Danio rerio: one gene and its partners. The protein of the gene in region 1 purifies or fractionates together with the protein of each later gene. This does not show direct contact. Links are inferred from orthologs where the notes say so. Each region holds a gene or a part of one and is shown on either strand. Other genes may lie near its edges.

Region 1 (4,110 bases):
TTTAATTGGAGACTGAAAAAGACGCGACTGACGCAGTGCACTTTTCCCACTCAAAACACAACGCGCAGCAGGAAGTTAAAATGCTCACGGCTACTAGTAAACCTGTCAAAAAAGGCTCCTCTCAATGCAAAAAGCATGTTCGTTGTGGTCAAGACGTTACTTTTTATCTGAAAATCAGAATCAAGCAATTCAACAAGCCTGTAGTATGAAAAATGAGAACATGAACCGCACCTGCACTGCAGATGTGTTTACATCAAACTTCCTGAAGATGGCAAAAGCCTCCTCGAAGAGCTCATTGCTAATGGCGATGTTAGCGATGTCAGGGGCATCGTAGTTGTCGAGGCGGTTGATGTACTCCATGACACGAGTGCGGTCAGCTTTGATGGCTGTCAGGATGAGGAGGTTCTGCAGATTCCTGGAACAAATAATGGGAAAGTCACTATTTAACACCATCAAAAACATATAAGAAAACCATTTTATGTTCAGTTGCCTTTCACAATTACCTGTGTTCACTAAAAACGGAGTTGTCCAGGACAATCTTCTCCAGTAGCTCGATGAGTTCATTAGGCAGGTCAGCAGTCATGAAAGCTTTGACAGTAACAGAAACTTCCTCAGGATCCTGAGTCTCAGAAAGAGCAGTCTGCACAACCTGTGGTGGACATGGAAATAAGCTGGGTTAAAGTATTTTCTCACACTATAACTCAAAATTGTACCCCTGAAATCAAAATAAGGGTTTTTGATGTTACAATCAGTATATTAGTCTTAAGGATATCAATAAGCTAGTGTGATGCAAAAAGGTAACAAAAAAGCCTCAATGAATCAATGATTTATTTGACATCAACTTATATAGTTTCACATCAAATCTTCTGACCAATCAAATACTCTATAATATGTGACATGTCCTGCCCCCTTCAAGATGCTTCTTGCTGGCTTTTCATTTGATGCATTTCAGCTTAACCACCCTAACTGAGAAGGGTATAAACGGAAGTCGGAGCTAGCTCCAAGTGGGCAGTACGAACCTGGAGTTTTTATTTATTTAATGCCTTGTACATGACATGGAGTCCAATATTGTGTTTTATGAATGTCTACAACTACCCCAACCCTAAACCCAACCTCAGTAACCGATTGTGTTTTATTAACGTCTACACCAGGGGTGTTCAAACTCGTTCCTGTAGGGCCATTATCCTGGAGAGTTAAGCTCCAACCCTAATCAAACACACCTGAACCAGCTAATCAAGCTCTTACTAGATATACTTCCTGGCAGGTGTGTTAAAGCAAGCTGGAGTTAAACTCCGCAGAACACTAGGGCTGCGTCCAAAACCGCCTACTTCTCAGTAGGAACTGCATTTGAATTTAATCGTACTACTCGGCCGTTAGAAAAGTTCATTCTTTACAGTATGAATTTGAAAAGTATGAATGGAATTTGGACATACTACATTCGCCATTTTGTCAGGGTCACTTGACCTGCCTGCGTCAGTCGCAACACTGCCATCATGAATAGAGTGCATGGGATGTGCACTCCAGAATCTCGCTGGAATTAGTAAGTCATTCGGGTACTTCTCACATACTGGTTTTAGAATGCTATGAATTCAAACATACTACTTCCATATACTGACTTTAGCGTACTATATAGTATGGAAGTATGCAGTTTCGGACACAGTGTGGCCCTCCAGAACGGAGTTTGGGCACCCCTGATCAACACCCATCCCAACCCTAAACCCAACCTCATAGTAACCTGATGTGTTTTGTTAATATCTGCTGCACCTACACCACCTAAACCCAACCTACTTGTGGTATAAGTCCCTCCCACTTAGAGGTAACCCAACCTACTTGCGGTACAATCCCTCCTACTTGGAGGTCTCCAGGCTGCAGCGATATATACTTGCCCTTACTGGCAGAGCTGTGATAAAAGCAAAGCTCTATTAGTTGTTTTTTTTTTAAAGGGGAGGAGCTACTCTATGTACAACCCAGTCTTCATGTTTCAGTTGAAATTACGTCACACGTCAAACCAACTTGCACATTTCAAAGCACTTGACAGGACCTTTAAAATAAATTTAAATAAAAACTGGACTCAATTTATCATTGTGAATGATTTACTGACACACGCTAAAAGTTATTTTTCTGCTGACATGGTTGGGTAAATCTTAATCTTTGGGACTATCCCTTTAACCTTTTTGATATAGTACCATAACACCTACTTTTTTGCACATATTTTATTATCATATATTATTTTTTATATATTTTTTTTCTTTTGAACTAGAAAATAGGACATTGAGGTAGTAAAATGGACTGTAAGCAAAATTTAGTCTTGATTTTCATGTTGTTCTCTAATTTGCACCTGGTCGATAAGGGGTCTCCTGTAAGGGTTGACTTCCAGAAGCACACTAGCCCACAGCTCGGGGTCTTTACGACGCACAAGGTATCGGGACAGACTCTTGAAGAGTGAGTTCTCATTGCAAACCTGTGAATTTGACAGAAAAAAAAAACACTTATAGCAATTTGCTTTATGTTAGACATTGAATGTATCAGCTCTTTTTGCTACAAACATTGAACAAAAGCCCCATTGTTTCTTACATGGATGAGCTCTTGGTCACACTGTCCCCTTTCATAAGCCACACAGGCCAGATGGGGGTCCCTCTTCTCGCAGTACTTGCCCACAACGCGGCTATCGTAGTAGGGGTTCTCACGGAGGAAGCGCTCTGGGTTGTTGTTGCTGTCAATGTAGATCTTAGCCAGGGCATTATGGGTGGCAGGTTCCTCACAGCCCTCGTGGATACGGGCCTCCAGCCATGGCAGAAGCAGCTTCAGTCTGTCAGAGATCAAAACAATCAATTAAAAAACCAAAACAGAGCAGATTCAGACAGATAACAGCCAAATCAGACAAATGTCAACCAAATAAACAGCAAACAATGAGATGTGCCTTCATAAACGAATCACAGAGAATGACAGAGCTTGGGTTTTTAAATTGAAACACGCACTCAAAAGACTTATTCACCAAAAACTGGCCACAAGTGACCATTCTCTCTGCCATCGCTGACATAATCAGATTGGTTTTCTGTACATTCCTATTGTTTTAAACTGATTGAATGAAACATTTACTGGGGATCTTTCAGAAAGTTTAGAGGCTTAAAATAATTTTTTTAAGGGGATACAATAGTTATTTCCACCTAAAAAAGTGAATTCAATTGTGTAAATTACATCAATTATTTGTGATTGTTTTAACAGGATGAATAAATGTGTTAAAGGGATAATTCTCCCAAAAATGTACATTCTACCATCATTTACTCACCCTTGACTGGTTACAAACCTGTTTGAGTTTTCTTTTTGTTCTGTTGAACACAAAGACAAAATTTTGAAGAACGCACAACAGAACAAAAAAATTGAATAAACAGATGGCAGAATTTTCATCTTTGGGTGAACTATCCCTTCAACATGTGAATGCTGACAGCCCTAATTTATATACCTCCTATAAAAACATTATGTAAATTATCTCGGTTTTTGGCTGAAAAAGAAAAATGGCTAAAATCATGATGCCAAAAAAGGTTACGCTGCGCCAAACTGTTCAGGGGTGTTCAGATGGCTGGTTTCACATTCCTTTCAGCCAAGTCACCATGCAGTCTAAAGTGGCTTTCACACTGGATGCAGAAAGCACTGCACTATGAAACCAATTCATTTCAATGGCTTGTACCACAAAATGGCAGTTTGTTGTCACAAGTTGTTGTCACAAGTTTATTGTGGCCAGAGGAGACATGGTTATGCCTAGCTGAGACAGTTTTTTTCTTGCTCTGATTTGCTTGGCTAGGACTTGTGGAGCTGCACACCGGTAGAGTTGCACTTCAGTGTTTTCAGTGCTTTCAACAGTGACTTTTGCATCACACTGAACTTCAACTGTGACAACTAAACTGAAGCCATTTTAATTTACCAGAACTTCATCTATATTTTACATAATCTACATCAAAAAAGCACTATAGATAAAGATGAATTGAAATAAATATGAATTGAAAAAAAAAAGATCAATATTTTACACTGTGTGTATTCCATTCATGAAACTGTATTCTTATCTAATGATGAATCGCACATGCTCACAGGAAAAAAAGCAAATACATTTAA
Region 2 (4,110 bases), on another chromosome or scaffold:
TTTATTTTATGTATTTGTGGTTGAGCTTATTCAAGCCTTTCTGAAATGATGAGTCACACACAAATGCCATTTGCAGTACACACACACACACACACACACACACACACACACACACACACACACACACAAGAACTACATATAACTACTTAAGAACTACATAGCGATTTTACTGTCTTTAATACAAACATACTCTGTATTAAAAATGTTTTAAACTTATAAAACTTAAAAAACTCATACAGAGTTTGAACAAATAATTGAATTCAATTTTATTTGCTAAAAAATGCGGATGTGTATATATGTTATTACAGAAACACGGCACCTGCCAATCAATTCAATGGGTGGGCAAAACCGCACTCATACGTCACATTTCGGTGAGAATTTAAAATCACTGGAAATTGCATTCTATTTTAACGTCAGGAAATTTAAAAAAAAAAAAAAAAAAAAAGACTTATTCGGTTTATATCCCTCCAATATGACAGAGGACACACTATACACACAAACACAGTTCTGTCTAAACAGCTTACAAAAGTAAAAAAATGTTATCATAGGTGCCCTTAAAAAAATAATGGCATGTAATAAAAATAAATATTACAAGTTTTGCGCTTTTTTATGTGTATCAAATGTTATTACATTTTACCAAATGTTATAATATTAATTTCATTATGTATTTGTATTACTTTACTTTCTGAATTTTTCCCAAGTATAAATTTATCTTTAGATTCACCACACAATTACATCAGCGTTCACATCACACTTATCACAAAAAACAAGCAACACAAATACATTCAAAATCACCACATAAGTCACATAAAAACTCAATTAATCCTGTTCCTTTTTAAAATGCAAATGGCAGTCGGCACAAAAGACATTTGGTGCACATTTTTCTTTACTTGAGGTTGCCTAACATGTTTTTTGATGGAAAAAGCTGACATTTTAATTTTAAAGGATGGAACAATCTTCAATAAAGATATGTGCTTTATGTTTAATTCTTATTTAATAAATTTAATTTAGTTGTCTTTGTGCTTTACCTACAATTGCCCTGTATATTTTTACTACCAATACATTTGTATTTCATTTAATGATCTTATTGGTTGGCCAAGTATAGAAACACTTTCTCTAACGGATAAATCCTTATCAGCTAAACTTTAACTGCCATTTGCTTTTTATCTTTTCCCAGTTCATACTGAAGAACTATGGTGAGGATCCTGACAATTACAATGAGCAGCTAAAGAAACTGGAGCAGCTGAGACAGGTTAGTCTTACAGTGTACCATTTTAATCAGTAAGTACATCTTCCCTGGAAAATATCCTTGGCATTGCTAGCATCATGCTCTACCAGTTAAGCAACTAAGAGAAGTTTATGATCTTGGCATTCCTAAATTCTCCGCATTGTCACGTCTTTCCAGAGTGCTGTAAACGTCACACGAGACTTTGAGGGCTGCAGTACGTTGAGGAAGTACTTCGGGCAGCTGCATTATCTTCAGAGTCGTGTGCCTCTGGGATTGGGCCAGGAAGCTGCTGTTCCTATTTCCTGGTAAGGGCATCAAACCATGCGCTTCAATATGCTGACAACTCGCACAAATCAGTTTGCATTGAAATAACTCATCGCCCCTGTTTGCATCTAAAAACCGTTTTCCCAACCTTCACTTGTTCCAAAGCTGTTTGAGTTTTTTTTCTGTTAAACACAAAGGTACTGTAGATGTACAGAACTTTGGAAAAAAAACATTCATACAGTCATTGACTTTCATGGTATTTTTGTCCAAACTCAAGGTTTGGAACAAGCAGAGGGTTAGTAAACGTTGACAGAATTTTCATTGTTAGGTGAACTATCCCTTTAAAATGTTTAATTGAACAGCTTATTAAGCATAATTTGGCTAAGAGTATGCATGTAAAGACATTATTTCTATTTCTTCCTCAAATACTGACTTTTAGTGCTCACTTTTAAGGCTTGTGCACACCGGGATGATTTTTTTCTCACGCTTATTGTTGTTGTTTTTTGTGTTCTCTCCCAAGAGCCAATCTCATTGGTCAACCAGTTTTAAATGCATCTTGTCAAACCAAAAATAACAAATCCAAGGAATTTTTAAAATGCTTTTATGCCTGGCTTGATTTTTTTTTACTCATGATTTTTGCACAATGGTTTGCATGCTCACATTAATGATCCTTGTTTAATCATAAGGTGTTAAGCGTTGGTGATAAGTGTGTGCAAAAATCGTCTTGATGTGCACAGGCCTTTACTTTTACCGGCAATATGACTATATACAGTTGAAGTCAGAATTATTAGCCCCTCTTTGAATTTTTTTCTTTTTTTTATATATATATTTCTTTAAATGGTGTTTAACAGAGCAAGGACATTTTCACAGTATGTCTGATAATATTTTGTCTTCTGGAAAAAGTCTTGTTTTATCTTGGCTAGAATAAAAGCGGTTTTAAAAATTTTTAAAGACTATTTTAAGGGCAAAAATTATTAGCCCCTTTAAGCTGTATTTTTTCATTTATTACCATTATACAATGATTGCCTAATTACCCTAACCTGCCTAGTTAACCTAATAAACCTAGATAAGCTTTTAAATAAAATAAATCAAGATAAAATAAATCAGTTATTTGAAAAGAATTATTAAAACTATTATGATTAGAAATGTGTCGAAAAAATCTTTTAAACAGGGGGGGTAATAATTCTGACTTCCACTTAATAATTTTTCATAATTTATATGAACATAATATTATATACCAGTGCGAAAATGCAGACAGAAACGTGAATGACAGCATGTCACATGAGAAAGTTGCAAGAATTCTTGAAGGTGCCATGTTTACATGTTGTATTTTTAGCGATAATTTTTGTTTTTATGTTGAAATCATTCATTTTTTGAAGTGCTTTATATATATAATATAATATATTACATATATATATATATATATATATATATATATATATATATATATATATATATATATATATATATATATATATACACACAGTATATATACACAGTATATATATATATATATATATATATATATATATATACATATACACATATACATTTTATATATGTTACTCAAAGCTACTGTTAGATACCTGAAAAACACTTTATCTTTGCTATATTGTATTCATTTTGTTTTGTATTTTGCTTATAGACTTTTCTTGATTTTTATTTGACTGTCCTGTTTTTTACTGAACATATATTCTATACCATACTGACCCTAAAAGCAAAAGAAAACCATAAACATTTAAAGTCTGTATTGTTGCCCCTAATTTCAACATTTTTAATCAAATATTTGCCCTCAAGTGAGAAATATGATCACAGGAATGAGTACGTTTCTCAGTATGTGAATAGTTCTTTTCATGTGGTCAGTATAATAAATCTATTGATTGATTGATTGAAATGATCTTATATTATGATATTTATCATTATCAGGATATGAGATTATGTATATGATGTGATAATTTTGTTATATCTTAGGACGGAGATATTTTCTGGGAAGACGGTGACCCATGAGGACATCTGCTATGAGCAGGCCTGCATCCTTTATAATTTGGGTGAGTTAGCATGAGACCGATACGTCAATGAGCGCATTGTCTGAGAGTGAAATAAATCCTGTGAGGTTGAGAAAAGGGTATTGTTGAAAATCAGGCTTGTTTTGCTGATTCAAGTCATGTTTTCACGCCTCTAGGAGCACTTCATTCAATGCTGGGAGCCATGGACAACAGGGTGTCCGAAGAGGTGAGCTGAACTACAGAAGACACAGCATGGACTAATTTAAATGTCATGTGATTTACTGTCGCAACCGACCGTAAGTCACACTGTGTTGAGAGGAAAGTGGTACATGTAACAATTCTTGCAATTCAGAAGTCATTTAAAGTCATTTTATCTCACTAAAAAAATCTATAACATGTAATTTTATTAATATATGGATAAAAATAATGAATAACTACAAATAGTTTGGCATTATATGAGGTATGGCCATGCAATGGCGCAGTTGGTAGTGCTGTTGCCTCACAGCAAGAAGGTCGCTAGTTCAAGCCTTGGCTGGGTCTGTTGGCGTTTCTGTGAGGAGTTTGCTTGTTCTCCCTGCATTAGCGTCGGTTTCCTCTGGGTGCTCCGGTTTC
Region 3 (4,782 bases), on another chromosome or scaffold:
ATAATAATTGTTATCCAGTGTTAAATGTATAAAAATAATGTGAGTTTGAATGCCATTTTACATGACATTTATTGCCATACTACTGACAGCAGCAGCAGATAGTTCACCTCAGATCTTGAAAATAAACAGTTAAAAATATAATTTTAGAATTAAAACCAACACAAAGTAATTCAGCATCTACATTTCATAATGTTAAAGAGGTTTAATATGTATTAATTAATCATCCTCACCATTTCGTGAGTGAGTGCATATTCTGTGCTTCTGAATGGCTGGATTTAAATTTCTGTTGTTTCGTCTGGTGCAAACAGCCAAATTGCGTATCACTGCAAATCTCGTCACGTAGCATGTTGTTAGGACACAGGGTTACAGTGTAACCTGCTCACCTAATGCTTATGTTCATATTTTTATATTATTTGCTAAATAATAACCTCATGTGGAACTTTGAATCTGCGTCTCATTTAGGAGTCTGCTACTGTCCACCAGAGGTCACCTTTTGGTCACAGGCACATGCTCTGAGAGCCTTCCTGACTGAATGAATGAAATATTTGGTTTTCCACCGAGGCAACCCGGGGTGCTGAATTATAATTGGCTAAACTGGCAATGTGCAGGTTAAAAAACCCAAAACAAAGACAGTCGTTTTGGCACGTAATGAACATTTATAAAAGCAGAATATCTGACTTCAGCATTGTTTTTCAGATAAACAAGTATATTTACTTGGCATGTTTCTCAAATATCTGCAAACATATTATGGTATTTTGATGCTTTAGTAGAGTCAAAAATGTATATACAGCAACTTTAAAATTAAACCTACATTTCTTCACTTTAAGTAAAGGATTTTTAAGAAAACTTAAAGAAAAAGCAGATCTCACGATTTCCTCCAAACAGTGCAAATAAAATGGTGGCGACACACAAACACTTACCATTTCAAATGTGTTTAATCAAACTGAAACAGAATGGACAACATGAGTTAACGTTTACCGGGGTACAGCTCTGTTTAACAACAACAACAACAACTTGTGCCATAATCTCACAATGAAGTGTAGAAGACCAGTCTTTATGTACAGTCACACACACGCACACCATCTGTATACAACATACACAAGACGTCAGTACTGGATTCCCCAACAGATTCACGAGGGAAATGCATAGATCGATAGTGTCACAATGCCACACGCTGGCTCTACACGGCGAGGGGAAAAATAGGTGGAACATGGAGTTTGGTCCATAAAATAGACACCAAAAATAAAAACATTGTTATATATATTTATGTATGCATGTATATATTTATAGATGAAATATTTATAGACATAACTATATCATATTACACATACATATAATATAATATAGATTATTCATATATGGAGCTCAAAGCCATTGGGATAGGGCCACAAAGGAAATCGATGTTGTGAAACCCAATGGTTGCTGGGATTGTTGGATTTTCGTTTACTTTGAAGCTGTTTAGCGGACGAGCGGAGCCTGTTTAAGAGAGATGAGCACTGAACGCATGCGGGACACATCCTTTGCCTGCTTGCTGGATTTAGGGTTGAAATCGCAAAGACGCGCCACACGTTCCCATTCTGTGCCAGGACTGTTTTCATCCAGCTCCGACACCATGGCTTCCTCAGCCGCCCTGCCGATGACAAACCAAAATCAGCTTCAGATAGACACGGGGAACACTCGCAGACCCGTCCTGCTTGAGCGCAGCACCGCTGACCTCCTTCAAAGCCTCCAGAACTTCAAACGATCAATTTCCAAAGAACTCAGTAAGGAGTTGTCTAAAATCTGAAATGTTTCACCAGGAGCTTTTTGGTTAGGAGGTTAGAGGTGCGTGAGCCAAAAGCAGGAGCGTCCAGGTGCTTATTTTCCATCCATCGATACATTCAGAGACATTCTTCAAGTGACCACATCCAAAACAGATGGTAGTTTGAGCATCATGCCCCCAACCCACCATTACCAGAACTAGTCTCCATCTTGAAGGCAGGAAAAGGTTTCCAGAACAGCCATAATTAAAAAGTTTTGCAGCGATTCAGTCGGTTAAAACAATTGGTCGCACTTTGAATTAAGGGATGTTCCTCGTCTCTTGAGGGTCAGAGGAACGGCGTACGCTAATGAGCCTTCAATGTATCGATTGACAGGCCCATTGGCTTATTTTAACCACTAAATCTTTGCGCAAAGGCTGAACGTGCCATGCGTTTGGCAGTGACCAAAAGCGGGGCCTTCTGCTGAGCATGGGGGAGGGGAACTAAACCAAGTTTCTGGCAAGCCAAACACACTAAAGGTTTTTGAAACCATATTGGACTATTCCCGTTACCAACCCTTTCCGCTGCCGTGGACTCAGTCTAGTAGAGTTGCATTAGCCTCTCCACTATATATACACACACAGTATACACAGCAAAATGGGTATGAAAAGCCAATGAGGTAAATCACGGTCACAATCAATTACATCAACGCACAGGACTAGTGCACCAACACATCACCACAAAATGACATCCAGAATCTTAGAAACTTTAGAAGAGAAACATCTTGATGGTAATAAAGACAGCAATTCATTGGTGTATATCAATTTGCAGTCAGTGGCTTGTTTCCTGAGCATATTTGGATTTCTTGTCTTGTTTTAAGATTTTTTTGGTTATTGTCATTTTCTTTTTTTACTTAACTGGTCTAGGCGGTAGCAAGGATGGTTAATGTGAGTGCTTAAAGGTGCATAGAGAAAAGAAAAACAAGGAGAAACAGATCACAAGTCAGATATATAGAAAACCAAAAGAAATGAGATTTATGCAGATGACCAAAGCAGGCATGCACTGTTCAAAACCCAAGTCATCTTAGGGGTGTTGTTCTAAGTGCGCTTAGCTTGCAGCCGTCATTGAGGTGTGTGTGTGTGTGTGTGTGTGTGTGAGCCGCTTATATGGCATTCAGCAATCTCAACTGGCGCTTCAGTTGAGAGATGTTTACCAAGCAAAAAAGAAAAGCAGCTAGTGTTTGTGCTAGTTCTGCAGAATAGGCAGAAGCAGTAAGAGGTCTGTGATGAGCATGAGGGCTGCAGAACTAAGAGGACAGTTACAGTTCTAGCCTGGGACAGCTCTGCTCAACCTATGCACAACATACTTCTAAATAAAGAAAACTGTCTAACTGAAGCAACTAGGTGTCCGGCCGAAGTGCCAGTTATGAGATAAAAGGTGCACAAAGACTTTTTTAAATAACAATAATAATAACAACAAAACAATTTTAAATATACCTAAATGTATTAAAAATGTAATGTTAATGTAATTTCTATTAACCAAAATTTTGTAATAAATTGAAAACTAACTTTTATTACAAGCAGTTTTACATTTAACAATTAAAATTATGTTTTTATTATATAAATTTATATAAGTTATATACATTTCAATGTTAAATGTATAAAAGTTTCAATTTAAATTATAAACATAAAATTCAATACAATTATATATATTTTATGAAATTTGTCGTCATGATACAACTTTGCGTTCACAAAAAAAGTGGCAAGAGCGTCAAAGTCGCCGCAAGTCATTCGTTTTTGATGGGAGTTGCCGACGATAAGTGAGGAGGCGCATCTTCCCTGGTGTGGATGTAAAGGAGAGTTGGAACAAAGACTATAGAAAACACAAGACGCGTGACACAAGACGAGGAAAAGTGTAACGTCAATATGGCAAATAAAGCCCCGCCTTCTACTACAGTAGCCAATCAGTGATCTCTATAGACTGAGGATTCTCAGAGGGAGGGGCTCGGACCAGGTGTGACTTTCTGCAGATTTTATGTGATTCAAATGTTTAGAAATAAAAGTAAAGCGATAGTTGTTGTTTAATTTTAGTGGTTATTTGTAATATGAAATTTTATCATAAGCTTGGCGAGCAATTTTGGAGAACTTAACGTTTCCCTGTTTAAACACAAAGCCCAAACATTTCAAAGATGGCCGCCAAGTGAAATGACTTGCCTTAAAAAGACTTTGGTTGAAATCAAGTGAACTTCATGGTAAAGAGCTTTGACACTGTTCAGTGGCAACAAATCAAAATGTAGACAGACCGCTACAGAGAATTCAAGAGAACACAGTCATGTGAACTTTGGTTCCGACGACAATTGTTCCCATGGGTTTGATTGTCTCTGTCGCCAGATTTCTGATTGTTAACGATAATTTCTTACAGGAATTTACATTAAAACAACATTACTGGCGAGTTGGTGCATTAATGTTATTTTTTTTTTTCTTTAAAAAAGCGGAAATCTCATGCTATCTGTAATGACAATACAAAACAGTATTGCTGCTTCAAAATATTTCTGACATTAAGAAACATATTGAATAAGTAGAGCAAAGCCACACCACGTGCAACAACTTGATCTTCCAGTTATGTGAATTTGATAAAAGCATGTTTTTTATGCGGGAAGGTAACCGATTCGCTGCAGCGGACCCTTTAAATATGAGATCAACGCAGCGAATTTTGGCGCTCTTGCCAGTGGAGCAGTAAACCCAGACAGTGTTTGTCACCAGACCAAACTAAACGCTCTCACCGCATTCTGTGTGAACACACAGTTAATATATACAAATATACATTTTGCCATTTATAATTTGTCAAACTTGATTTAATGAGGTATACTTTTCGACTTTTGATCCAAAATTTGTACATTTATTTCATTTTGCACAGTTTTGACAGGATCTCTTCTACATTTTCCACATCACAGATATCTTAAAGCCCTAAAAGCAATTCAATTCAACAGTTTGTTTATAGAGAGAGCTTTTATAGTATATTCTAATAATAAACCCATTACTAT

What was found. The genes of interacting proteins can lie anywhere in the genome.
Region 2: the proteins of cltcb (region 1) and ptpn23a purify together in Homo sapiens (affinity purification with mass spectrometry; 3 studies listed by BioGRID and IntAct, with this or other methods). This does not show direct contact. The link is inferred for Danio rerio from reciprocal best matches to the Homo sapiens genes CLTC and PTPN23.
Region 3: the proteins of cltcb (region 1) and clta purify together in Homo sapiens (co-immunoprecipitation; 6 studies listed by BioGRID and IntAct, with this or other methods). This does not show direct contact. The link is inferred for Danio rerio from reciprocal best matches to the Homo sapiens genes CLTC and CLTA.

Annotation. Positions count from the first base shown.
Region 1 is NC_133190.1:19,744,854-19,748,963, reverse strand, and holds part of cltcb (clathrin heavy chain 1), read right to left. Parts: intron 2,810-4,110; coding exon 2,575-2,809; intron 2,462-2,574; coding exon 2,339-2,461; intron 650-2,338; coding exon 504-649; intron 416-503; coding exon 232-415; intron 1-231. UniProt on the Homo sapiens protein: Clathrin is the major protein of the polyhedral coat of coated pits and vesicles. Two different adapter protein complexes link the clathrin lattice either to the plasma membrane or to the trans-Golgi network.
Region 2 is NC_133191.1:45,543,144-45,547,253, reverse strand, and holds part of ptpn23a (tyrosine-protein phosphatase non-receptor type 23), read left to right. Parts: intron 1-1,177; coding exon 1,178-1,252; intron 1,253-1,405; coding exon 1,406-1,533; intron 1,534-3,463; coding exon 3,464-3,540; intron 3,541-3,674; coding exon 3,675-3,724; intron 3,725-4,110. UniProt on the Homo sapiens protein: Plays a role in sorting of endocytic ubiquitinated cargos into multivesicular bodies (MVBs) via its interaction with the ESCRT-I complex (endosomal sorting complex required for transport I), and possibly also other ESCRT complexes.
Region 3 is NC_133176.1:13,757,662-13,762,443, reverse strand, and holds the end of clta (clathrin light chain A), read right to left. Parts: intron 2,694-4,782; coding exon 2,658-2,693; intron 1,631-2,657; coding exon 1,459-1,630; 3' UTR 917-1,458; downstream 1-916. UniProt on the Homo sapiens protein: Clathrin is the major protein of the polyhedral coat of coated pits and vesicles.